Linked DNA regions of Mus musculus. The protein of the gene in region 4 purifies or fractionates together with the protein of the main gene of each other region. This does not show direct contact. Links are inferred from orthologs where the notes say so. Each region holds a gene or a part of one and is shown on either strand. Other genes may lie near its edges. The genes, in order: Vcp, Flnb, Hspb1 and Isg15.

The links.
Region 1: the proteins of Isg15 (region 4) and Vcp purify together in Homo sapiens (affinity purification with mass spectrometry, with the first as the bait; 3 studies listed by BioGRID). This does not show direct contact. The link is inferred for Mus musculus from reciprocal best matches to the Homo sapiens genes ISG15 and VCP.
Region 2: the proteins of Isg15 (region 4) and Flnb purify together in Homo sapiens (affinity purification with mass spectrometry; 3 studies listed by BioGRID and IntAct, with this or other methods). This does not show direct contact. The link is inferred for Mus musculus from reciprocal best matches to the Homo sapiens genes ISG15 and FLNB.
Region 3: the proteins of Isg15 (region 4) and Hspb1 purify together in Homo sapiens (affinity purification with mass spectrometry; 3 studies listed by BioGRID, with this or other methods). This does not show direct contact. The link is inferred for Mus musculus from reciprocal best matches to the Homo sapiens genes ISG15 and HSPB1.

What each region holds. Positions count from the first base shown.
Region 1 is NC_000070.6:42,991,741-42,997,507, reverse strand, and holds part of Vcp (transitional endoplasmic reticulum ATPase), read left to right. Parts: intron 1-1,164; coding exon 1,165-1,276; intron 1,277-1,439; coding exon 1,440-1,612; intron 1,613-3,679; coding exon 3,680-3,822; intron 3,823-4,228; coding exon 4,229-4,359; intron 4,360-5,767. UniProt on the Homo sapiens protein: Necessary for the fragmentation of Golgi stacks during mitosis and for their reassembly after mitosis. Involved in the formation of the transitional endoplasmic reticulum (tER).
Region 2 is NC_000080.6:7,815,500-7,821,715, reverse strand, and holds the start of Flnb (filamin-B), read right to left. Parts: upstream 3,760-6,216; 5' UTR 3,565-3,759; coding exon 3,273-3,564; intron 1-3,272. UniProt on the Homo sapiens protein: Connects cell membrane constituents to the actin cytoskeleton. May promote orthogonal branching of actin filaments and links actin filaments to membrane glycoproteins. Anchors various transmembrane proteins to the actin cytoskeleton.
Region 3 is NC_000071.6:135,885,764-135,891,512, forward strand, and holds Hspb1 (heat shock protein beta-1), read left to right. Parts: upstream 1-2,155; 5' UTR 2,156-2,295; coding exon 2,296-2,671; intron 2,672-3,285; coding exon 3,286-3,349; intron 3,350-3,477; coding exon 3,478-3,667; 3' UTR 3,668-3,800; downstream 3,801-5,749. UniProt on the Homo sapiens protein: Small heat shock protein which functions as a molecular chaperone probably maintaining denatured proteins in a folding-competent state. Plays a role in stress resistance and actin organization.
Region 4 is NC_000070.6:156,198,214-156,203,608, reverse strand, and holds Isg15 (ubiquitin-like protein ISG15), read left to right. Parts: upstream 1-2,790; 5' UTR 2,791-2,900; coding exon 2,901-2,903; intron 2,904-3,542; coding exon 3,543-4,025; 3' UTR 4,026-4,185; downstream 4,186-5,395.

The DNA.
Region 1 (5,767 bases), about 110 Mb from region 4:
CCAATCCATCTGTCTTCAAACTCATAGATAGATAAGCCTTTAATCCCAGCACTTGGGAGGCAGAGGCAGGCAACTATCTATGAGTTTGGGTTTTTTTGTTTTTGTTTTTTTGTTTGTTTTTCGACTCAGGGTCTCTCTGTATAGCCCTCGCTGTCCTGGAACTCACTTTGTAGACCAGGCTGGCCTCGAACACAGAAATCCGCCTGCCTCTGCCTCTATGGATGTGTTTTTATCCTCTTATGTATCTCTTTTTACTGTATGTTCTTTGTTTTGTGCCTGGTATTCTTGTGATACTAGGAGATGCTCTAGGTTCATCAGGTTTATTTGGGGGTGGGGGGGCGGTGGATACGGCTAAGAATTGTGTTCTGTTGTTCTGAGGCTTGCTTGGTTAAGCATAGTCTCTTAATTCCCTTGGAAAACAGGCAGTAAGAGAAGAACTTAAGGGCTGGAGATACGGCTCAGTGGTTAAGAGCACTGACTGCTCTTCCAAAGGACCTGAGTTCAAATCCCAGCAACCACATGATGACTCACAACCATCAGTAATGAGATCTGATGCCCTCTTCTGGAGTGTCTGAAGACAGCTATAGTGTACTTACATATAACATATAAATCTTTTAAAAAAAAAACTTCTTTAAAGCTCTAGAATTGATCATGATGATCATGTATGAGACATTATGAAAACATTTACATTTTTTTTGTCTCAAAATGTAAGAATGAATATTGAGAGGTCTTACAGTCTCCATTTTACAAATGAAGAAATCAAAGTCCAACCAGGTTAATTAACTTAAGTGAGATCACAATTAAGTATGGTCAGAGTTGGAATTTAGACCTAATTGGTCTTGTTGTAGAGCCCTGTTCTGTAGAGTCTAAGAGTCTATAAGACTAATTTTTTTTTATTGGTTGCTTTTGAGCCTTTACTTTTGTTATATCTTTTAATATTCTTTGGCCAGTTTCCCTATGTTGGCATAGGATCCCTGGGGCTAACAGATTGGAATAGCAGCACTCAAAATACTAAGATGTGGAATGGGAATGAAATAAATGCTGGCTACGTTCATCATGAGTTTATCTGGATTTCTTTTAGCTTTGTCTATCCATTCTTTCCTTAGTGAATCTTAGTGTTGGTGGTCAGTATCTATTAGGTCTAACTTTAGTTTTTCCTTCTAGTTCAAAAGGTGATGATTTATCAACAGCCATTCTCAAACAGAAGAACCGACCCAATCGGTTAATTGTTGATGAAGCCATCAATGAAGATAACAGCGTGGTGTCCTTGTCCCAGGTAAGTTGGGTGTCCGGTCCAGTCTTTACTTAAGTAGAGAGATTTTCCGGCTTTCTTTTGCCATTTTTCTTGCAGTGAGGGATAAAGTGGGGTTTATATGGAATTCTAGCCTATCTAACGGTCAGTGACCCAAAGTCCTTAGCCTTTGGTTTTTCTTTCTTAGCCCAAGATGGATGAACTGCAGTTGTTCCGAGGTGACACGGTGTTGCTAAAAGGAAAGAAAAGACGGGAAGCTGTATGCATTGTTCTTTCTGATGACACGTGTTCTGATGAGAAGATTCGAATGAATAGAGTTGTTCGGAATAACCTCCGAGTTCGCCTAGGAGATGTCATCAGGTTTGTATGAAAGTGGGAGATATAGATCCTTGGTCTCTTAGAAATGAGACCAGAACCGGGCAGTGGTGGCGCACGCCTTTAATCCCAGCACTTGGGAGGCAGAGGCAGGCGGATTTCTGAGTTCGAGGCCAGCCTGGTCTACAGAATGAGTTCTAGGACAGCCAGGGTTACACAGAGAAACCCTGTTTCTAAAAAAAAACCAGTAAATAAATAAATGAATAAATAAATATTTAAAAAAGGGAAATGAGACCAGATAGAATCTGCATTATAGACACCGTCTCCCCCCTGCATTGCAACCAGGATGGAATTCTAGGCAGCTGCAGAAATAAATGCACATGGTCATGGGAATATTTCCAGGGTTGTGTGTAGGTTGCACTGCCTTTCTAGACTTGAGACTCCACCCCTGCACGGTCCTTAGGACAAATGGCTTGCTAGCTAGCTTCCTTCCTTCCTTTTTTTTTAAGATTTATTTATTTCATTTATATGAGTACACTGTCCACTGTCTTCAGACACATCAGAAGAGGGCATTGGATCCCGTTACAGATGTGGTTGTGAGCCATCATGTGATTGCTGGGAATTGAACTCAGGACCTCTGAAAGAGCAAGCAGCCAGTGCTCTTAACTGCAGAGCCATTTTCCAGCCCACATATGGCTTTCTTGATGCCTTTTAAAATGTTTTTCCAACTGGGGAGTATAATTCCTCATAACTGGATTGGAGACGTTATATGAGGATATATAGCTACTAAATGATACACAGATGTATCTACACTATATCTAATGATCATAATGCTGTGACTGCTTAATGGCTTGTAATGGTGCTGAAATAAAGTAGAAATGTGAATAGGAAGGAATTCTTTTAAAAATAAGTAAACCTGGGGCTGGAGAGATGGCTCAGCAGTTAAGAGCACTGACTGCTCTTCTGGAGGTCCTGAGTTCAAATCCCAGCAACCACATAGTGGCTCGATACCATCTGTAATGGGATCTGATGCCCTCTTCTGGTGTGTCTGAAGATAGCTACAGTGTACTTAGATATATAATAAATAAATCTTTAGAAAAAATAAAATAAAAAAAATAAGTAAACCTAATCCTGGCTTGGTGGTGGTGCATACCTTTAATTCCAGCACTTGGGTGACAGAGACTGGTGAGTCTCTGAGTTCAGGCTAACATGGTTTGTATAGTGAGAGCCTGTCTCCAAAAGGCAAAACAGATAATAAACCTAGTGGGGAGGAGCATAGTTTATAATTTGACTAGGACTGCTGTGGTATGAGTGATTTTTGGTTGTACCCAGTTAGGTATGAGGCTTCCAGAATTTGTAGTTATCTGGCCAGGACTATTCAGTCTCTGAAATCTTTTTAATGAAGTCTTACTATGTTTTAAGTACTTTCTTCTTTAGACTACCTAGCTTTCTCATGGTGTTTTGATACTGTAGTTGAGTTCCCCCACCCCCACCCCAAGACAGGGTTTCTCTGTGTAGCCCTGGCTGTCCTGGAACTCACTCTGTAGACCAGCCTGGCCTCGAACTCAGAAATTTGCCTGCCTCTGCCTCCCAAGTGCTGGGATTAAAGGCATGTGCCGCCACTGCCCGGCCAGAGATTATTAATTTTTGATTGAGTTGTAAAACCTTGTTCCCCCTCCTCCCGGTAATACTGGAATATTAATATTAACTAGAAGACTAGACATGGTAGCACATACTACTTATTCACAGTAATCTCAGTTCTGAGAGACAGGAGATGGTTGACACTAGCTAGAAAGGATTATCATTGTTGAATCTTCCGTATTGAAGACTCCAGTGGTAGTACCGTGCATATGTGGGGCTTCCAAGTATTCTTAATTTTGGCTTAGTAATGGGGGGGCTTCTGCTACCTCATCGTGAATGTGACCTGTCTTAGTGTGCTTGGCTGCTCCTTTGCCTTCTCTCCCACCCTGCTTTCCTCCTCCTCTTCACCTAAGGCCATCCCTGCCTTTTCTCTTTCGCTTGCCATCAGCTGTCTGTGCCAGGCCCTTTCGGACACCCAGTGCTTGGGGCTGCAGTGTGGTTGGTAATGTGGAGTCTGCTTGTCATCCTCAGCATCCAGCCATGCCCTGATGTAAAGTATGGCAAACGTATCCACGTTCTACCCATCGATGACACAGTGGAAGGCATCACTGGCAATCTCTTTGAGGTATACCTTAAGCCGTACTTCCTGGAAGCTTATCGGCCCATCCGTAAAGGTGAGAGAAACTGAGTTTAAGAACAGTTGTTACTTGAGTAAACTTTGGAACAATTCCATGTTATTTTCCTATATAGATATAGCCTGCACACATATTCAGTTGTCTGCTCTCTTACCTCCCTTCAGTGCTCTAGGATAGTAAGCAGTTCTCATGCCTCTCTGAAGGATAATGTGGTTGCTGTCAAGTTGAAAGTGTACAGCTCTACCATTGTTGGTTGTAGTGAAAGCTTAGGCTGTTTATAACAGGAGTATAATACAGAGTTGTTTTTTAGTATTGCCTGGGGTAGGGAAGGAAGGCATAAGTAATAGCTACTGAGCTTTGTATTTTAGATCATGCGGTCTAGTGAAGAAGTTTCTGGTCCTGTACTTGACACCTCTAATTGCACTTGTATTGCTTTGTATTATAGGAGATATTTTTCTTGTCCGGGGTGGGATGCGTGCTGTGGAGTTCAAAGTTGTAGAGACAGATCCCAGCCCTTACTGTATTGTTGCTCCAGACACAGTGATCCACTGTGAGGGGGAGCCAATCAAGCGAGAGGTGAGTTACTCCCTAATCCCAGTTCACGGTTTTATTTGGCTTTTTATTTGTGGTGCTGAGACTTGAACCCAGGGCCTTGTGCATGTTAGGTAAGTACTCTGCCCCTGAATTACATCCTCATCTCCCAAATCATTACCACTCAGGTAGTATTCATGTTGTGTATCAAAATGAATACTTTTGGAGATTGGATGGCCTTAAATTAATGGAAGTCGAAAACCACCTAAGAATTTCTTGAAAGAACCCAATCCCATGAGTTTAAGATGAAGTCTGAAAGATGTAAATGATTGGCACTGAGTGTGGTGGCATATGCCAATAATCCTAATGCTTAGGAGGTGGAGGTGGGAATATTGTTTTAAGTTTGAGTCTAGAATGATGGTCTCTGAAGTGATGGGCTGTGGTTTGGTGGTTAAGAGCACTGGCTGGGGGCTGGTGAGATGGCTCAGTGGGTAAGAGCACCCGACTGCTCTTCCGAAGGTCCGAAGTTCAAATCCCAGCAACCACATGGTGGCACACAACCACCCGTAATGAGATCCGATGCCCTCTTCTGGTGCATCTGAAGACAGCTACAGTGTACTTTACATATAATAAATAAATAAATACATTTAAAAAAAAAAAAAAAAAAGAGCACTGGCTGTTCTTCAAGGGGACCTGGGTTCAATTCCCAGCACTCACATGGCTATATTTGATCATGTTCCTATCACACTCCACTTCCTTTTGTTTGTTTTTGAGACAGGGTCTCACTATGTTATTCTGTCTGGCCTGGAACTCACAGTGATCTGCCTGCTTTTGCCTCCCAAGATGGAATTAAAGGCATGTGCCACTGTGTGCAAAATTCTACTGATCCCCCTCAAAGGTCTCCCTATTCTCATAACTTTTTTTTCAAACCTTTATTTACATGAATGGGTAGTGTACATACGTGTGTGTCTATACGCCATGTCCATGTTGGCTCCCCTGAGACCTGAGTTACAGACAGTTGTGAGCTGTCATGTGGGTACTGGGAATTGAACTCACGTCTTCTGGAAGAGCAACCAGTGCTCTTAACCCCTAAGCCATCTCTCCAGCACCCCCCCCCCCTTTTGGTGGCCCACTCAGTTTATTTAGAATTGATCATGTAGGGGGGAGGTTATTGAACAGCTATAGCTTACCAGTGGCTATACCACCACTAAGGAATATTCTGTATTCCAGCTCCTCAGTGCCAGACTGCTTGTCTGGCACACACCAACCACTCGGGAGGTAGAACTCAGTCTGGTTTTTTCCAAATGGAAAACAGTGGAGTTTGGAACTACTGCTGTGGTTTCTGGTCTCCTGTGTACCCAGGCACCACTGGTGTGCCACATCCACTTGCCAGGCAGGAAGGGGAAGGCAGCACCTGGGATGGGTGGAACCCAGTTTGATCCTGAATGAGTGC
Region 2 (6,216 bases), on a different chromosome or scaffold from region 4:
AATACTGCCAACTCCTGACAAAAACCCTGTAACCAGGCAGGCTGAGCCTCTCTGCGAACTGCTCAAGACATAGGAAACTAAACAAAACTCTCAATGTTGGGATAGCGCCTAGGGTGGGACCAACTTCTGATAAACCACAAATGTGAGCAAACAAATAGCCATGGCTGTCTTTCAGAAGTTATTGGCAGATATGTCACTGGCCTCTGGCAGCTGCTGACCATCTCATGTCTCACAGCTGGGTTTACGGACATGATTCTAAAGGTTCTCACAGTGTAAACTGTTGGGCGTTAGCCACGGTGTACAGCGATGCTCTGAATTCATCCAATAAGCATCCCCCGTTATGGAGTAAACATGAGCCCCCGGAGAACAAGAATGCTCAATAAAACGCCACCAATGGAGACAGCAGCTATTCCTCAACAGTCAACCAACCGCAAGACAAAACACCTCCTGACAGTTACAACATTTAATTCCAGGAGATGTCATCACAGCTCAGAGGATTAATCTTGCCTCTCTCTCATCAAAGACCCCCATGATCCCTACCTACTGCGTCTGAGGCTAAGGTTCAGACTGTGGATATCCAGCTTCAACACCCTGGAACTGCAAAGTGTAAGTAAGCTCTACCAACCCTTCTATGCAGGGAAGAGGAAGGGAGGCTGTATTGGCTCTCTGACACTAGAAAGAAATCCACTCGAAGTTCAAATTCAATAGCTTGGCAATCATGCATTCTGGGCTCCGTGGGCTTCCTAGCCCTGTTGCCTCTAGAATTTGGTTCATTTCTGTTTCCTGTCTTTTTAAGTAGGAAACACTAATACTAACAACAGCATCATTAACAACAGCAACTGCTTTCTAAGTAACATGTGGCAGCCTAGGACAGAACTCAACCCCTGCCTGACCCTCTAGGGGACTGTTAGAGAAGATCATTATCAGAAGGACATTAATTGATATCAATTGATTGATTATCCTGGCTATTCAATGGGAACAGTCAACAGAACATACAGTGGGTGGCCCTAGTAAAAACTGTCATGGCAAGCACAAGACAACACACGCGAACCAAGGTCCAAGCCAGATGACATTTTTTTTGGGCTGGTCATTACCTATGACATCTATCCCTAGGCCTAGGCTCCATTTCTTCCTGCAGCAGTCTGGGCCCCTGGCAAGATGGATAGGTCTCCAGAGGCTGGAAAACCTGTTTGCTGAGAGATCTTTCTGGAAAGCAATAGGGAGGCTAGGGAGGAGTTGTATGTGGTCACACCCTCTAACCTAGGAATACTACTCTGGGGAATATGATCCAAGAAGTATTTTAAAGAGACAAATCAAACAGTACAACTTGTGAAGGACTACTGACACAGCTGGCCATGGGTAACAGATGAATGGAAGATAACTGTGAGATGTTAGGCAATGGGGGGCTCAGGCCTCAGCAGGTTCGAGTGGAAATCATGAGGACCAATTAGAAAACTGTGAGGGACCACCAGGCAAGGCCAGAATGAGACCCACAAGCTTGGAGGAGCATGGCTGGGAGCAGCAGCCCACGAGTAAACAGCTAGTCAATTAGGAAGTCCTTGATTTTCTGGGGCTGTGATTTCTTTTCTTTCTTTTCTCCTTCTCCTTCTCCTCCTCCTCTTCCTCTTCCTCCTCCTCCTCCTCCTCCTCCTCCTCTTCCTCCTCCTTCTCCTTCTTCTTCTTCTAAAAGCAGTTCTGTCAGGTTTAACTCCTGGTTTAATTTAATTTTCTTTGTTGAGTTAATGAAATACATATAGCATTTAAAACAATGGATGAAGGCAAGTCCAGCTCAGCCAGGCAGGCTTTGAAAATCACTCTTCATAGGAAAGTAGAGTTCCTGTAGAATTCTGAGGTCCTCCCTCCTCAATAAAAGAGATGCCCACCCCCCATGTGATGCACCCCTGGCAGCTTCCTCCACTGAGAACCCACCCCTGGGAGGGAGAGCTTGCTGGGAGGCAGGCTGGTAGCTAGCGGCCTGGCCCCAGGAAGTAGCAAGCGCATCTACCTGCCAGCACAGGTGTGGGGAAAGTCCAGGGCGAGGCCAGGAGGAGGCTCAGTCCAGAGGGAACCCCTTTCCACTAGAGAAAGTCCCAGAAGCCACACCCACCTTCCTTCCTTTCTGTCACTGGAGTCACTAGAATGGCCTTGCTTCCTCAGGAAGAAACCTCAGCCCTAAGAATCCCTTTCACGAAGTGCACACATCCTCTACATAATACTTTGCACACCCACTGTGTACGGAAAAAAAAAACTTTCATAAATAGATGCTATATGTGCACACACGAATGCCTACGGGGGCAAACAAGTGAGCCCGGGCATAATACACACCTCCCTTGTCCATCACAAAACACATTCTCAAGAGCCCTGTTTTCTCTTTAGAAGCCTAAAGTACTCGAGGTCTTAATTCTCTCACCCAAGGCGGGAGGAAAAAAGCAGGACTCAAACTCTCTCAGGAAGACCCAGGAAAAGGGGGTGGGGACTGCTTTACTTCTAAGTTGGACCACATTGGAGGTGGCCCTGGGAACGTCAATTAGCCCGGTAAACGTCCCCTCTTCTGTAAAATGGGCCTAAGAACATCTCAGGCCACCGGACGTCAATAACTCAGAGAGCCACACAGCCAGCGCCAGTCAAGCCCTTTTCTACACACATTAATTATTATCAACCACTAAATTATCTCAACCTGAAGGAACCGGCCAGCGCTGAGCCAGAGCTAGGAAGTGAGGACATTCCCCTGTGACGCCCCTTCCAACCTCAGAGCCCACACCCATTCCGGTCTAAGAAGGGGAGGGTCTCAGGTCCTCGTCTCCACCTAGGTGGTGAGATCCTAAGCAAGAGAGCGGTCGCGGTCGCGTCCTAGGTCTCCACGCCCAGACTCGAAGCCAACGCCCTTTCAGCCGGGCGGGTCACTCAGCTCTAGGCGCACCTGGCTAGCGTAAAGTAGGGATTTGGTACTTGAGTCCACGGCGTTGTCATTAGGGTCAGCAGACGATTTCCCCAGCAATCCCAGGAGTTCCCGCAAATTAAATTCCAGGTGTGACTGGAAGGTCTGAGTGCTTAACCCACCCCAACACTGCAGCGGCACCGCCAGGAGCACCGTGTCGAGCAATCACGCCAGGTCCCAGCCCACAGATGGCACCGCGGAAAGGCCTATGTTCCTAGGTCCTCATCCCAGGACCATCTCCCCCTCCCTCACACCCGGGAAGCGATGCGCAGTGGGGCGCGCTGCCGGATACCCCCCGATTACTGCAAATTTAGGGCCTGGCCACAACACTCACCAATGGACACGAGCTTAATGCTTTCGTGGTCTAGGAACTCCAGAGCCACAGACACATTCTCCAGCTTCATCTGTCTGAAGGTGGGCCGCTGATGGTACTTGTGGTGCATGCGCTTCTGGCTGAGCACCTCGAGCAGCGCGATGAGCCGTAGCCCGTCGCTCAGGTCGGTCTGCAGGTTCCCGATGCGTTTATTCACACACTTGAGGTGCTCGTTGCACCAGCGCGTGAACGTGTTCTGCTGAATCTTCTTCCACGGCGCGTCCTCCGCCAGGTCTTTCTCCGTCACCGGCATCCTGGAGGCAGAGAGTACGCGGAAACAACGAGCTGCAGGGACTGAGATGAAAAGCCCCAAGGGCCCGGGGAAGGGGAACTGAGGCAAGTGGGGAGAGGGTTAGAAAGCGCTGCTATACTAGCCGCAACAGGATCAGGACTGCCTTCGTCCGTCCCCGGGCGCGAAGTAGCCTGGCCTGGCGCCTGCGCGCTACGCCGCCCCGCCCCCGAGGCTCCGCCCCGTTTCTACCCTATAGAAGCGAACTCCTTAGCTGCGCTCGCCCTCTACGGTCCAAAGCCTGCATTACGCCGGAGGGTAGGGTGGGGTGGTGCTTCCTAAGTATCCCCAACCTGATGTACTGCCCAGCAAGGAGAAAGTAACTTGGGAAAGGCCTAGAATAAGGGCACACGAGGAGGCGGGGGACTAGCCTAGAAGGAATGGTTGCGTCAAGAGGGAATATGCCACCCATCTATAGGTTCAGTGAGAGGAAAGTGTTTTTCTCAGAGTCTGCACGTAAATTAGACACGTTGATTTCTAAATGAAAAGGAACTCAGAGCTGGGCGTGGTGGCGCATGCCTTTAATCCCAGCACTTGGGAGGCCGAGGCAGGCGGATTTCTGAGTTCGAGGCCAATCTGGTCTCCAGAGTGAGTTCCAGAACAGCCAGGGCTACACAGAGAAACCCTGTCTCGAAAAAACAAAAACAAAACAAAACAAAACAAAAAAGAAAGAAAGAAAAGGAACTCAGCCTTAAAGTCCAATACCACGTCCATCTGAGTAGCAGTAGTGAAAACGAACTGTTTTCTATGGCTATTAGAAGTTTTTTGCTGGTGTAACACAGATTTCCTGTCTTGCATGTCAGTAAGTTAGATGTCCCGTCTGGGGTTCATTGGCCCAAGGCATTTCTTGCTGGAGCTTCTGGGAAATAATCTGCTCCTTTGCCGTGCCAGATTCTAGACGCTAGGTGCATGTGTTGGCTTACGATGCCTTTCTTGTCTTCAAAGCCGGTAAAACAAGGCACAGATACCTTTTTCACCCTGTCATCTCCTCAGTTCTCCATAGTCAGGTCTTCCTAGAACTCTCTTGAAGACCCTGTTGACTGTATTAGGCAAATTGATTAGTCCAGAAGATCTTGTTATGTTTTATTTTTTTTAACTATGATGGCCAAGAAAGGGCCGGATAAATGGGTCATGGCACCTACTGACCGGTGTCCCTCTTCTCTTCCCTTTGCCTGAGAATTCAGTTCCTTTCTCTCCACATCCCAAGCCTGGTAGCCCTCAGCTCAGCTTGGCTGTCTCCCCCCTGGCCCCCCAGTGTCGAGGAGCAGATGGAGATCTAAGGTCTCGAAGAAACTGAAGATACGTGTCTGACATGAATGATATCTGTTCCATGCTGGTCTGCATACCCCAGCAAGAGGTCTAGAGTGATCTCAACTACAGCTGAGTACCTGGTGTAGAATTGCCATATGAGATGTAGACGACAGATGAGTGAGTGGGTGAATGGATGGATGTGTGCTTGCAGACTGAGGGGGGCAGCCTTCATCCTGCATGCAGAATCAACTGGGGTGTGGGACACCCATCGTGTGAGACCTACAGCCTGACATTTCAGGCCTGAAGAATCTACATCCTGTCCCTGCCCTGGGTGGGGTGTTTGCTCTACTCATTTCCACAAAGCAATTAACTGCAAACATATCAATCCAAGGAGATTGATACTAGAAAGCCCAACAGTCCTTCCTGCCTTATAAGGAAGCTCTTGTCACTGACCTCTGCTGGTTCAGGCTCCCAGTGTCTGCTCTCATTCCAGCTTTTATACTTTCCTTTGGTATGGAAGAAACAGTAATAATACTAGGAGAACACCTCACAGTTTATCTTAGTGACTTAGCTTTCTGAGTCCTTATACACCCAGGGAGCGAACCTGGATCCTTAACTTCATTTTCGTTTGCTTGCCATTTTCCTTGTCCATAACATCAGATCTAATTATCTCTCCAGATTGAACTCCTGAGAGTGGGTGTGGGGGGACCTTTGCCACACAGAACTTGGCTCACTTACCCCTTCCTCCTGGAGGGAAACGTCAGCTATCTACAGGGTGTCACTAGACCATGCAACCGTACAGTCGAGTACAGAACAATAGGGCAAAGCTTCTGGTCCTATATAAATACAGGTTGTATATGTGTATATAATTACCTGTCGGTGCATAAAATACCTCTGGGATGATTCATAAGCAAACAGTAACCAAATTCATAGCCAACATTACGTTGGCGAGACAGAGTCCTTATACACCCATTTTCTTTCTTTTCTCAAGATTTATTTATTGTATGTATATTTATTTATTTAATGTCTATGAGTACACTAGCTGTCTTCAGACACACCAGAAGAGGGCATCAGATCCCATTAGAGATGGTTGTGAGCCACCATGTGGCTGCTGGGAATTGAACTCAGGACCTCTGGAAGAGCAGTCAGTGCTCTTACCCGCAGAGCCATCCCGCCAGCCTGGGAGAGGTATTTTCTTTTCTGCAGTGTGCTCAGTCGTGTGCAGCTCCCCTCCCCCAAACAGGGTCTCATATAGTTCATGTGAGCCTCAAACTCCTCATGTAGCCAAGATGGCCTTTGAACTTTTGATCCTCCTGTTTCCACCTCCTATGTGCTAAGATTGCCAGCATGTATATCACAGTGGCC
Region 3 (5,749 bases), on a different chromosome or scaffold from region 4:
AGGGTGAGAAGGGCTGAGAAGAGTATTCCTATTGCCATGAGCCCCCAGGCCAGGGTGCTCTTTGGTATGCTAATAGACACCACAGATAGCCCTTTGACCCCAGTTTCTTTTGTACTTAACACACAGCAACCCACATAAAAACTGAGGGTGGCCCCATGTGATGCTGCTTGCCTTTAAGCCGGGCTCTCTGGAGGAAGAGGCAGGCCAATCTGTGAGATCCAGGCCAGCTTAGTCTAAAGAGTTCTAGAACAGCCACAACCACACAGAAAACAAAACCAAAAAAGAGCTGAGTGTGGCCTGTGCCTCCTGTCCGAGCAAGCGCTGGGGTGGGGCAGTTGCAGAACCAGGAGGATACTAGGGGATACCTACTCATCCAGCTTGCAGGTTCCAGGTTCGATGTCTCCTGAGAGATGGTCTAATGGTTAGAGGCACTGCCTGCCCTTCCTATAGTACTGTCTTAGTCAGGATTTCTATTCCTGCACAAACATCATAACCAAGAAGCAAGTTGGGGAGGAAAGGGTTTATTCAGCGGACACTTTCCACATTGCTGTTCATCACCAAAGGAAGTCAGGACTGGAATTAAGCAGGTCAGAAAGCAGGAGCTGATGCAGAGGCCATGGAGGGATGTTTCTCACTGGCTTGCTTCCCCTGGCTTGCTCAGCTTGTTCTCTCGCTCTCTTTCTCTCTCTCTCTTTTTTTTTGGGGGGGGGTCTTTTCTAGACAGTGTTTCTCTGTATAGCCCTGGCTGTCCTGGAACTCACTCTGTAGACCAGGCTGGCCTCGAACTCAGAAACCCACCTGCCTCTGCCTCCCAAGTGCTGGGATTAAAGTCGTGCACCACCACCACCTGGCCCAGCTTGCTCTCTTATAGAACCAAGACTACCAGCCCAAGAATGGCTCCACCCACAATGCCCCCCCCCCCCCGATCTCTAATTGAGAAAATGCCTTATAGCTGGATCTCATGGAGGTATTTCCTCAAAGGAGGCTCCTTTCTCTGTGATAACTCCAGCTTGTATCAATTTGACACTAAACCAGCCAGTACAAGTATCCAGGTTCAAATTCTAGCACCCACCTGGCATTCCAATTTCTGATACTCTCTGTAACTCAAGATCTAACACTCTCACACAGACATTCATGTAGGCAAAACACTGATACACATTATATATATATATATATATATATATATATATATATATATATATATAATAAAAAAAAAAAGCGGCCGGGTGTGGTGGGGCACGCCTTTAATCCCAGCACTCCGGAGGCACGGGCAGGTGGATTTCTGAGTTCGAGGCCAGCCTGGTCTACAAAGTGAATTCCAGGACAGCCAGGGCTATACAGAGAAACCCTGTCTCGAAAAACCAAAAAAAAAAAAAAAAAAAAAAGCATCAAATAGCCCAGCGGTGGTGATGCACACCTTTAATCCCAGCACTTGGGAGGCAGAGGCAGGCGGGTTTCTGAATTCGAGGCCAGCCTGGTCTACAAAGTGAGTTCCAGGACAACCAGGGCTATGCAGAGAAACATTGTCTTCAGAAAAAAAAAAAAAAAAAAAAAAAAAAAAGCAAAGCAAAACAAAACAAAAAAAAAGCATCAAAATAAAAAAAGAAAAATCCTACTTCAGAGAGAGAGAGAGAGAGAGAGAGAGAGAGAGAGAGAGAGGAGAGAGGAGAGAGAAAGAGAGAAAGAAGAAAGAAAGTCAGTTTCTGGGTCAGAAAGATACTCAGTGAACACTAAGGCGCCTGCCACGAAGCCTTTGCTCCCCAGGAGATACACTATAGAAGACAGCTATCTTGCCGGTGTCATGAGACCTCCACAGGTGTGCCATGACATGTGTGTTCCCACGGGCCTCCTTCTGGTTCAGACCAGGTTCAGTTGCTTCCCAGTTGCGACACAAAAGACCTAACCTCTCCTGGTTATTCTCAATAAAAAATGGGGCTGGCCCCAGGCCACCGCCCTTCAGCCAGCAGTGTCCTAAACCCGACAGTGGGAATCGCTCCAGCTACCGGTATTACGCCGTCATTTGTTTTCTTCAACAAGAGAAGTTTCCAGATGGGGGCAGAACCTTCCTGGCCCCGCCTGCCCGCCCCCTTTGCAAGCTTAGGGGGAGGAATGCAGAGGGGAGGGGCGGCGAGGGGCGGCCCCTGAGACGGTCATTGCCATTAATAGAGACCTGAAGCACCGCCTGCTAAAAATACCCGGCTGGGCACACATAAAAGCACGCTGGGGCTCCAGTCCGGCACTTCTCGGATCCTCAGCCCAGTGCTTCTAGATCCTCAGCCTTGACCAGCCAAGAACATGACCGAGCGCCGCGTGCCCTTCTCGCTGCTGCGGAGCCCGAGCTGGGAACCATTCCGGGACTGGTACCCTGCACACAGCCGCCTCTTCGATCAAGCTTTCGGGGTGCCCCGGTTGCCCGATGAGTGGTCGCAGTGGTTCAGCGCCGCTGGGTGGCCCGGATACGTGCGCCCGCTGCCCGCCGCGACCGCCGAGGGCCCCGCGGCGGTGACCCTGGCCGCACCAGCCTTCAGCCGAGCGCTCAACCGACAGCTCAGCAGCGGGGTCTCGGAGATCCGACAGACGGCTGATCGCTGGCGCGTGTCCCTGGACGTCAACCACTTCGCTCCGGAGGAGCTCACAGTGAAGACCAAGGAAGGCGTGGTGGAGATCACTGGTGAGTTTCCCTTGTGCCCAGAGGGGACGAAGCTGCCGAGGCGAGAGTGGTGGCTGGGGGGCTGAGGGTGGGGGCTGAAACCCTGAGGAATAGAACCCTGAGAAGTTAGAAATGAACCTAGGGACCCGGAGCCCGCATCATTCTCCTTTGCCTGCTTCTCTTGCCCCGGAACGCGGGGTGCAGGTTGCTCTTAAAAGCTCTGTCATCTTCGATGATATGGACCAACAGCTGGGGATGTAGCTCAGGGTAGAGCTTCGCCTGGCCTGCCGGGAGGCCTTGAGGCTTTGCGTTCCACCCGCAGCACAGAAACAAAATGAAGGAAGACCCAACACACCTTCTGGAAGACCTCATTCCCAAATAAGCAAGCGGCAGGATCAGGGTCCCTAGACCCAGCCGCAGAGGCTTTGAGTATACCTACCCTGGTATCCAAGTCTGGGTCAGAGCCAAGCCCTTCGCATCCCAAATCTCAGAAGGGAAGTTTCTGGAAAGTTTTAAGATTCCAGACAGTCAGGCACCCCGCCGCACTCGGGTTTGTTTGCCTCCCTGGGGGGTCCCAGCCACTCCTTAGCTAGGACAGCAGAGGGCTGCTTCTGACCTTCTGTCCCCACCCACAGGCAAGCACGAAGAAAGGCAGGACGAACATGGCTACATCTCTCGGTGCTTCACCCGGAAATACACGTGAGTTCTGATTCCTTGCATGGAGGGCGGGGAGGTGGGGGGGAGGGGGAGCGGACCCAGGGCGGAGGGCGAAGAGCCCCGGGTCAGGAGGGATGTGTAACCCTTGCCCTGATTTTCTGTGTGTCCAGGCTCCCTCCAGGTGTGGACCCCACCCTAGTGTCCTCTTCCCTATCCCCTGAGGGCACACTTACCGTGGAGGCTCCGTTGCCCAAAGCAGTCACGCAGTCAGCGGAGATCACCATTCCGGTTACTTTCGAGGCCCGCGCCCAAATTGGGGGCCCAGAAGCTGGGAAGTCTGAACAGTCTGGAGCCAAGTAGAAGCCATCAGCCTGCTGCCTATCTCCCATAGCCATTGCTGGCCACCCCTCTCTGTCAATCTGTGCGCTCTTTTGATACATACATTTACCTGCTGTTTTTCTCAAATAAAAGTTGCAAGCTACTGCTCACCACCGTCTGACTCCAGAGTTATTATGGTGGGCTAGGGATGGGTGTGCTAAATTGGAACACCCTTTGGGGTCTTTGCTAAGTGCTCACTATGGGCTCAGGCCCTTCCTGTGGGAAAAGAGATAACCTGGAGATTAAAAGTTTACCAGGGGGGCTGGAAAGGTGGCTCAGCGGGTAAGAGCACTGACTGCTCTTCCGAAGGTCCTGAGTTCAAATCCCAGCAACCACATGGTGGCTCACAACCACCCGTGATGAGGTCTGACACCCTCTTCTGGTGCATCTGAAGGCAGTTACGGTATACGTACATATAATAATAAATAAATAAATCTTAAAAAAAAAAAAAAGTTTACCAGGCTGGGTATAATGATGGTATAATTACATCTCCTGTAATTCCAGTATCCAAAAACGGATGCAAAAGCAGTGTGAATTTGAAGCCAGCCTGGGCTACAGGGTGAGTTCTATGAGTGCCTGGGCCACACATGTACTTGCTGTCTCAAAAACAAACAGAAGAGCAAAACAAAACAGAAGCTCAGTAGAGGGTTTGCATGGCATCCGTGAAGTAATGTTTGATCCCCCGCATTGGATAAACTGGGTATGGTGGCGCCCTCCAGAAGTGGAGAAAGGATCAGAAAGGAGTTCAAGGTTATCCTGGGCTACATGGCTAGTTTGAGGCCAGCCTGGGACACATGAAAACATCTTTTTTTTTTTTTCACATGAAAATATCTTAAGAGTAAAAAAAAAAAAAAAAAAAGGATCAAGAGCCAGTCAGATCCAAAGCAACCCCCTCTCTCCCAGCCTCTGGTCCTGTTCTCTATGAACAGAGAAATTTACTTCTCCACTGTCCCTACTAGCATATCAAAGTGCAGGCTAGCCTCCAGGCTTCCTCCGTATTAGCCCAGCTCCTCTCCCACCCCCTACACTAACCTCAGCGCAGCTTCCCTCCCTAGCCTCTCTTTAACCTTCCTAGTTGACTGTACACCCTCTTTCCTCCCTTGGTCTGTCCACACTCTGCCTCACTCTCTCTCTTGCTCCCCCTCACCCCTACCTCATGGGCGGGTCCAGTCCACAGGCCGTGGCCAATCTGCTAATTTCTCTCCCTGCTCTGGACTCTTCCAGCTGCCTCTGGCTGGTCTCCTCCCCCTATATCTACAATAAAATCTTTCTCCTCAGCCGTGCCTTGCATGGGTCATGCCTTACTTTATACATCTCGTGCCGGGACCCTCAGTTTATGCCCTAGTTCACACCTGTACTCCCAGCATTTAGGAGGCATTAGGTTGCAAGATCAGGAGTTGAAGGACAGCCTTGGCTATATAGCACATTCCAAACCCAACTGTTTTGAAACTCTATCAATACCACAAAATAAACAAATACAAATTTAAAATACTATTAAAAACAGCATTGTCCAGAGGCCAGGTGTGGAGGAGGAGGAGTATTGTAGAGAAGGTACAGGAGATGTGGCAATTCAAGGTAGCTTCCTGGGGTGTTGCCCCTGTCAACCCCACCCACAGACACCTGCAGAACGGAATGTGGACTCTCAGTAATGGACAGAGAAGGAGGATTGGTGTTGACATCTCGGTCAAGACTGACAGAGATCACAGCATCCGCCTGCTCTAGAGAGCTTGCCTTGACTAGCCTCAGCCTCACTCAAAGCAATTACACAAGCTTTAGCTCCACCCTTGTGTGCTCTGCCTTGTCCATCCATCATCCCCCAGGAGGCCCAGGGAGGGAGCTGAGGGACCCCAGGGGGCTTTGGAGCCTAGTGACCCAGAGTCTAAGGGGTTGACTCTGGATGGGTGGCTCAATGGTTAGGAACACGGACTGATCTTTCGGAGGATCTGAGTTCAGATCTCAGCTCCCACATAGCTGGCTTCACAACCTCCTGTGACTCCAGCTCCAGGGGAGTTTATACCTCTGGCCTCCAAAGGCAAGCATGCAGGTGCACACATAACATATACA
Region 4 (5,395 bases):
CCGGGCTTCGCCCCGGCCTCCACTCACATCCTTCCTGCGCCCGCGGTCGCAGTGACGGTCGGGAGCAGAGCCAGGCTTGCACTGACGCGCGCTCGCCGCCCCTTCTCCAGCTTCCAGGACTTTTAGGTAGAGCCGCGCTTGAATCCGGTGTTCCGTTGTCCCTCGCTCGACTTTGCGGGTTTTGGCAGCGTTGCCCACTGGTCTGGGGTCCAGGTCCAGCTAGCGAGGGCTGAGACGCTCGCCCGGCTTTCCACGCTGTACCTGGCGCCCCGGTGCGCACCGCGTGGGCGAGCGCCTGCGACACCGAACCCGGAGGCCGAGCTCTGAGCGCTTAAATACGGCGGACGGGGGGGGGGGGGGGGGAGCGGCGGGGCTGTGAATCCTTCTCGACTTCAGTTCCCACACTCCTCCCAGCCAATGAAGAGCCAGCCTCCAGCCCGGCCTGCCGCCCGCCCTCTCCGGTTGTTACGCGTAGCCGATCTCCGGCTACGAAAGTGAACCCGACGACGTTGCATCCGAGAGGTCTCGGGTTAGAGTGGGCGGGGCGGGGGCTCCTGGCTCACTTAGTTTTGGAGAAGAAGCACCAGAGGGTATGGGAGGCAAGTCATGAGCACCTGGTAGGAAATCCAGAAGGATATTTCTCCAAAAACTAGAAAGCAAATCCTCAGGACTGTGAAGTCAGGACCCACTGAGGCTCCTCACACAGCCCTACCCAAGACCCGAGCAGGATCAAGACAGCCACTTGTCTCCTCAGCCGAACAGCATTTGCTCATGGGCAGCGTTGTTTCCAGCAAGGAGCCTGAAACTAACACAGAGGTCTGGGAACAAGCTTGGGTAGAAAGATGAACCAACACCAGACACCGAGACTAGAGAGGGGTCAACTGGTCCTGGTCACCTGATAAGTGACATCAACTGATATCACAGGGCAGCGGAAGGACGACTTCGTGCAGTGTAAGGATAAGGATATCAGTGGTGACAGAAACCAGATGGGATGATGTCATGGTGCCAGTGATGTATCCTGAATTACCCCACCGCTAAGTTCAGCCAAGAAGAACTCAAAAACTTAGGGCAAGTGAGGCACAGCCGCACGTGCCTTTAATGTAGCATTCAAGAGGCAGAGACAGAAAGAGCTCCGTGAGTTCGAGGCCTGCCTGGTCTACAGAGTAAGTCCCAGCACAGCCAGGGTTACATAGTGAGACCCTGTCTCAAAACACACACACACACACACCAAATTTTTTTTCCAAAGGAAAATAAGAAAAACAGGGCCATTATTATTTTAATGGTTGCTATTGTTTTCATTCTGAGTTACACTGCTATACATACAGACATTTTGTACTCAGGTTACTAAGCACAGCGTAGCCTGGCAGCTGCCTCCATTCAATGGAGGTGGCCTGAGACCACAGGAGGGGCTAGACACCCTACTGGTGGTCCTACTTCTTTAATTTTCTTTAAATATTGGGCTGGAAAGATGGCTATGTGGAAAGTGATTGAAGAAAACATTCAACATTAATCTCTGACATGTATAAGCACACATATGCATGCATATAAGCAAAATAAAGAAAGAAAGAAAATTTATATATTCAGTTCCTTCTTCTAAATTTCTAATTTCCTGCACTCACATATACACAATCCCCCCCCCCCAAATACACTGTATCCACATAATTAAAACTAAACCTTAAAAAAAAAAATCTAAGCCAGGCAGTGGTGGCACATACCTTTAATTCCAGCTCTTGGGAGGCAGAGGCAGGCAGATTTCTGAGTTTGAGGCCAGCCTGGTCTACAGTGTGAGTTACAGCCAGAAGGACAACCAGGGCTATACAGAGAAACCCTGTCTCAAAAAACAAAAAACAAACAAACAAAAAAAAAACAAAAAAAAAAAAACAAAAACAAAAACAAACCAAAAAAACAAAAACAAACAAACAAAAAAAAAACCAAAACTGAGTACTAAGTATATAACTCAATTGTTAGAGTACTTACTTAGCATGCATGAAGCTCTGGGTTCTGTTCCCAGAACTGCAGAAAATGGCACAGAAGATGAATCACTAAAATCTCAGAACATGAGCAGGAGAAACAGAAGGACCAGTTTAAGGCCAATTTTAAAGTGAGTTTGAAGCCAGCATGGACTACATAGCAAAGACTACTTCAAAAACAAACTCATCTGACTCAATGTATCTTGATGTGAGCAATACTTTGTTTGTTCTCTTGGCTTTTCAAGACAGAGTCTTGGTGCTTGTTCTGTAGACCAGGCTAGCCCTGAACTCAGACATCCACCTGCCTCTGCTTCCCCGGTGCTGGGATCAAAGGTGTGCGCCCTGGCCCAGCTACAATAGGGTCTTAATAAACTGTTCTAGGACAGAAATGCTTCCTACAAGCCCCTCCCCCCCAAAAAAAAACTATTGTTCTAAACTAATAACCAATAGCAGTTGTCTTTGGGCAATTCTGATTGGTACTATGTTATGCAGTTTCTGAATTATTATGCCATTTTCCAAGACAACTAATTTCCAAGCTAACAAACGACAAATACATTTTCTATTATTCGTTCCTATTCTGACTTTTACATGCCTTGTGAAGGACCTGAAGGGCGTTTAGGGAGTTTTAGAGCACACAGGCCTGGTTACAGCTTTGACCCTTGAGAGCCAGTCCCTTTCCTTCCCAACTACAGTTTCTTTTCATTCAGTTTTGGTTTTCCCACTCATTTAAGGTATGCCGTAGGAAAAGGAAACCGAAACAGAAAATAGCTCTGGTTTCTGGAAACTCCGCCTCTTCACACCCACAGCTCATACTTAAAAGAGTCGACCCAGTCTCTGACTCTGAGAGTCGATCCAGTCTCTGACTGTGAGAGCAAGCAGCCAGAAGCAGACTCCTTAATTCCAGGGGACCTAGAGCTAGAGCCTGCAGCAATGGTGAGTCCAATTTGGGACAGAGGCAGATGGGTTTCATTTTAGTTGACTTTACTCCATTCCTTGATAGGGTCTTCCAGAGACAGAATAGTCACAGTATGAGAACAGAATATAATTGTTTAAAGCTCACTCCTGGGGGGCGGGGGGGGGGCAGGTTCTTTTGCTCAGATACCAGCTCTAGATCCCTTAAGGCTGGGCCCAGAAGGCTATCTTTATGGGTGAACTGAAACAATGTGATGGTTGTGGGACCCTTTAGAACCGAGGCCTCCGTATCATATACCTGGATGGTTCCCCTAATAGAGGAGAGGATGGGGTGGGGGTGGGGGGGGACATGGATGGACGTGGGGGCTGGCCCTGTGACTGGTGCTTTGCATGTAGTAACTCCCAGCCAAAGTTGCTAAGCCGGTGGTTCTCAGCCAAAGGATTCAGGAACCTTTTGGGGGCCTGAATGACCTTCTGACAGGAGTCGCATATCAGATATCCTGCATATAGCAAAACCAGTTATGAAGTAGTGATGAAAGCAGTTTTATGGTTGGGGGTCACTACAACTCCAGGAGCTGTATTAAAGAATGGAAACATTTTATTAGAGTCATAGCATTAGGAGGGTTGAGAACCACTCCTAAATCCATGTGATGCTTGCAGGCCTGGGACCTAAAGGTGAAGATGCTGGGGGGTAACGATTTCCTGGTGTCCGTGACTAACTCCATGACGGTGTCAGAACTGAAGAAGCAGATTGCCCAGAAGATTGGTGTGCCGGCTTTCCAGCAGCGCCTGGCCCACCAAACTGCAGTGCTCCAGGACGGTCTTACCCTTTCCAGTCTGGGTCTGGGTCCCAGCAGCACAGTGATGCTAGTGGTACAGAACTGCAGCGAGCCTCTGAGCATCCTGGTGAGGAACGAAAGGGGCCACAGCAACATCTATGAGGTCTTTCTGACGCAGACTGTAGACACGCTTAAGAAGAAGGTGTCCCAGCGGGAACAAGTCCACGAAGACCAGTTCTGGCTGAGCTTCGAGGGAAGGCCCATGGAGGACAAGGAGCTGCTGGGGGAGTATGGCCTAAAGCCCCAGTGCACAGTGATCAAGCATTTGCGCCTGAGGGGTGGGGGAGGGGACCAGTGTGCCTAAGGCCCCCATCCAGAGCCAGTGTTGGTTATAAAAGATGATGGGGGGGGGGGTATGGAGGACTTTTGGGATAGCATTGGAAATGTAAACGAGGAAAATACCTAATTAGAAAAAATATCAAAAAAAAAAAAAGATGATGCAATAAAAAGCTCTGCCTCTTGTTTGCTTGTCCCTCTCCAGAAATGCCCTTCTATCCATGGTGAGAAGGCTCTGGGTTGCCAAGTTAAGAGACAAGGATTTCACAGTGAGAGCCTAGTGAGGAAATGCCCCTTCCAGACCCTTTGAGTAATTAATTCACTTCTGGAGAAAGACACTTTTGCTGGGACCCAGTCCTTAGTCTCAGCCAGGCCCTAAAAATGTCCCCATGTCTACATATGGCTCAGGGACAGGTTAGGCCAGTTTCTACCAGTAGCAGGATGAGGCTCCTAATGGAACCAGTGAACTGCTGAGATCCTTTGGGAACAGTGAAGGAATGTTCTTACCTGGGTAAGCTGTGAAGGAGGGTGATGTGTTCTTTTGTATGTGTTCCTAGTCCCACCTGCACTAGTTCACAGAGGGTAGGATGGGGTCTCACCATTCAAATCAGCCACCTGCTGTTTAGGACATGGTAGTTAGCAAGTACACCTCATCCTCATCGGGGCTATAAAGAGGCCACTATAGGCAGGTTAGATGGGCACAAGTAATTGGAGGCTCATCTGTCCACAAAGGACATCATGTCTCAGATAGGAGGCACCCAATTTGAAAAAGCTTCACCCCCCTTTCTGCCTGATGGCTCTTTGTCTTTTCCTCTATCAGCTTACTCGGGCCTTTGAGTGCGCTTAGGGCACAAGCAAGTCAGTACAAGTCCTTCTGTGGTCCTTCAGACCTTTAAGAGAATTTGAGTGGAACCTCAGAAGACCCCCTTCTGGTTGGTGTGTTTGTGCTTATCTGGATTAGGTGATGCCAGATCTAGCAACGCTGGAGCCCACTGTGTAGATGCGACCTCAAATCTGGGTCCAGAAGGTGGAGTCTTTCTCAGGAGGAAGAGCTGCTGACACTCACACTTCACTCTGGCTTCTGGCTCAACAGCCTATGGAAGATAGCATAGTGTCTTCTCTCGTTTTTTTTTTGTTTTTTTTTTTTTCCAAAATTTTTTTCTTCACTTACATTTCAAATGCTATCCAGAAAATCCCCTATCCCCCCCCCCCCCACCCATTCTCTCGGTTTGTTTGTTTTGTTTTTGGTTTTTTGAGACAGGGTTTCTCTGTGTAGCCCTGGCTGTCCTGGAACTCACTTTGTAGACCAGGCTGGCCTCGAACTCAGAAATCCACCTGCCTCTGCCTCCCGAGTGCGCCACCACCGCCCTGCGCGTTCTTTCAACCTCCTGTAGGTCT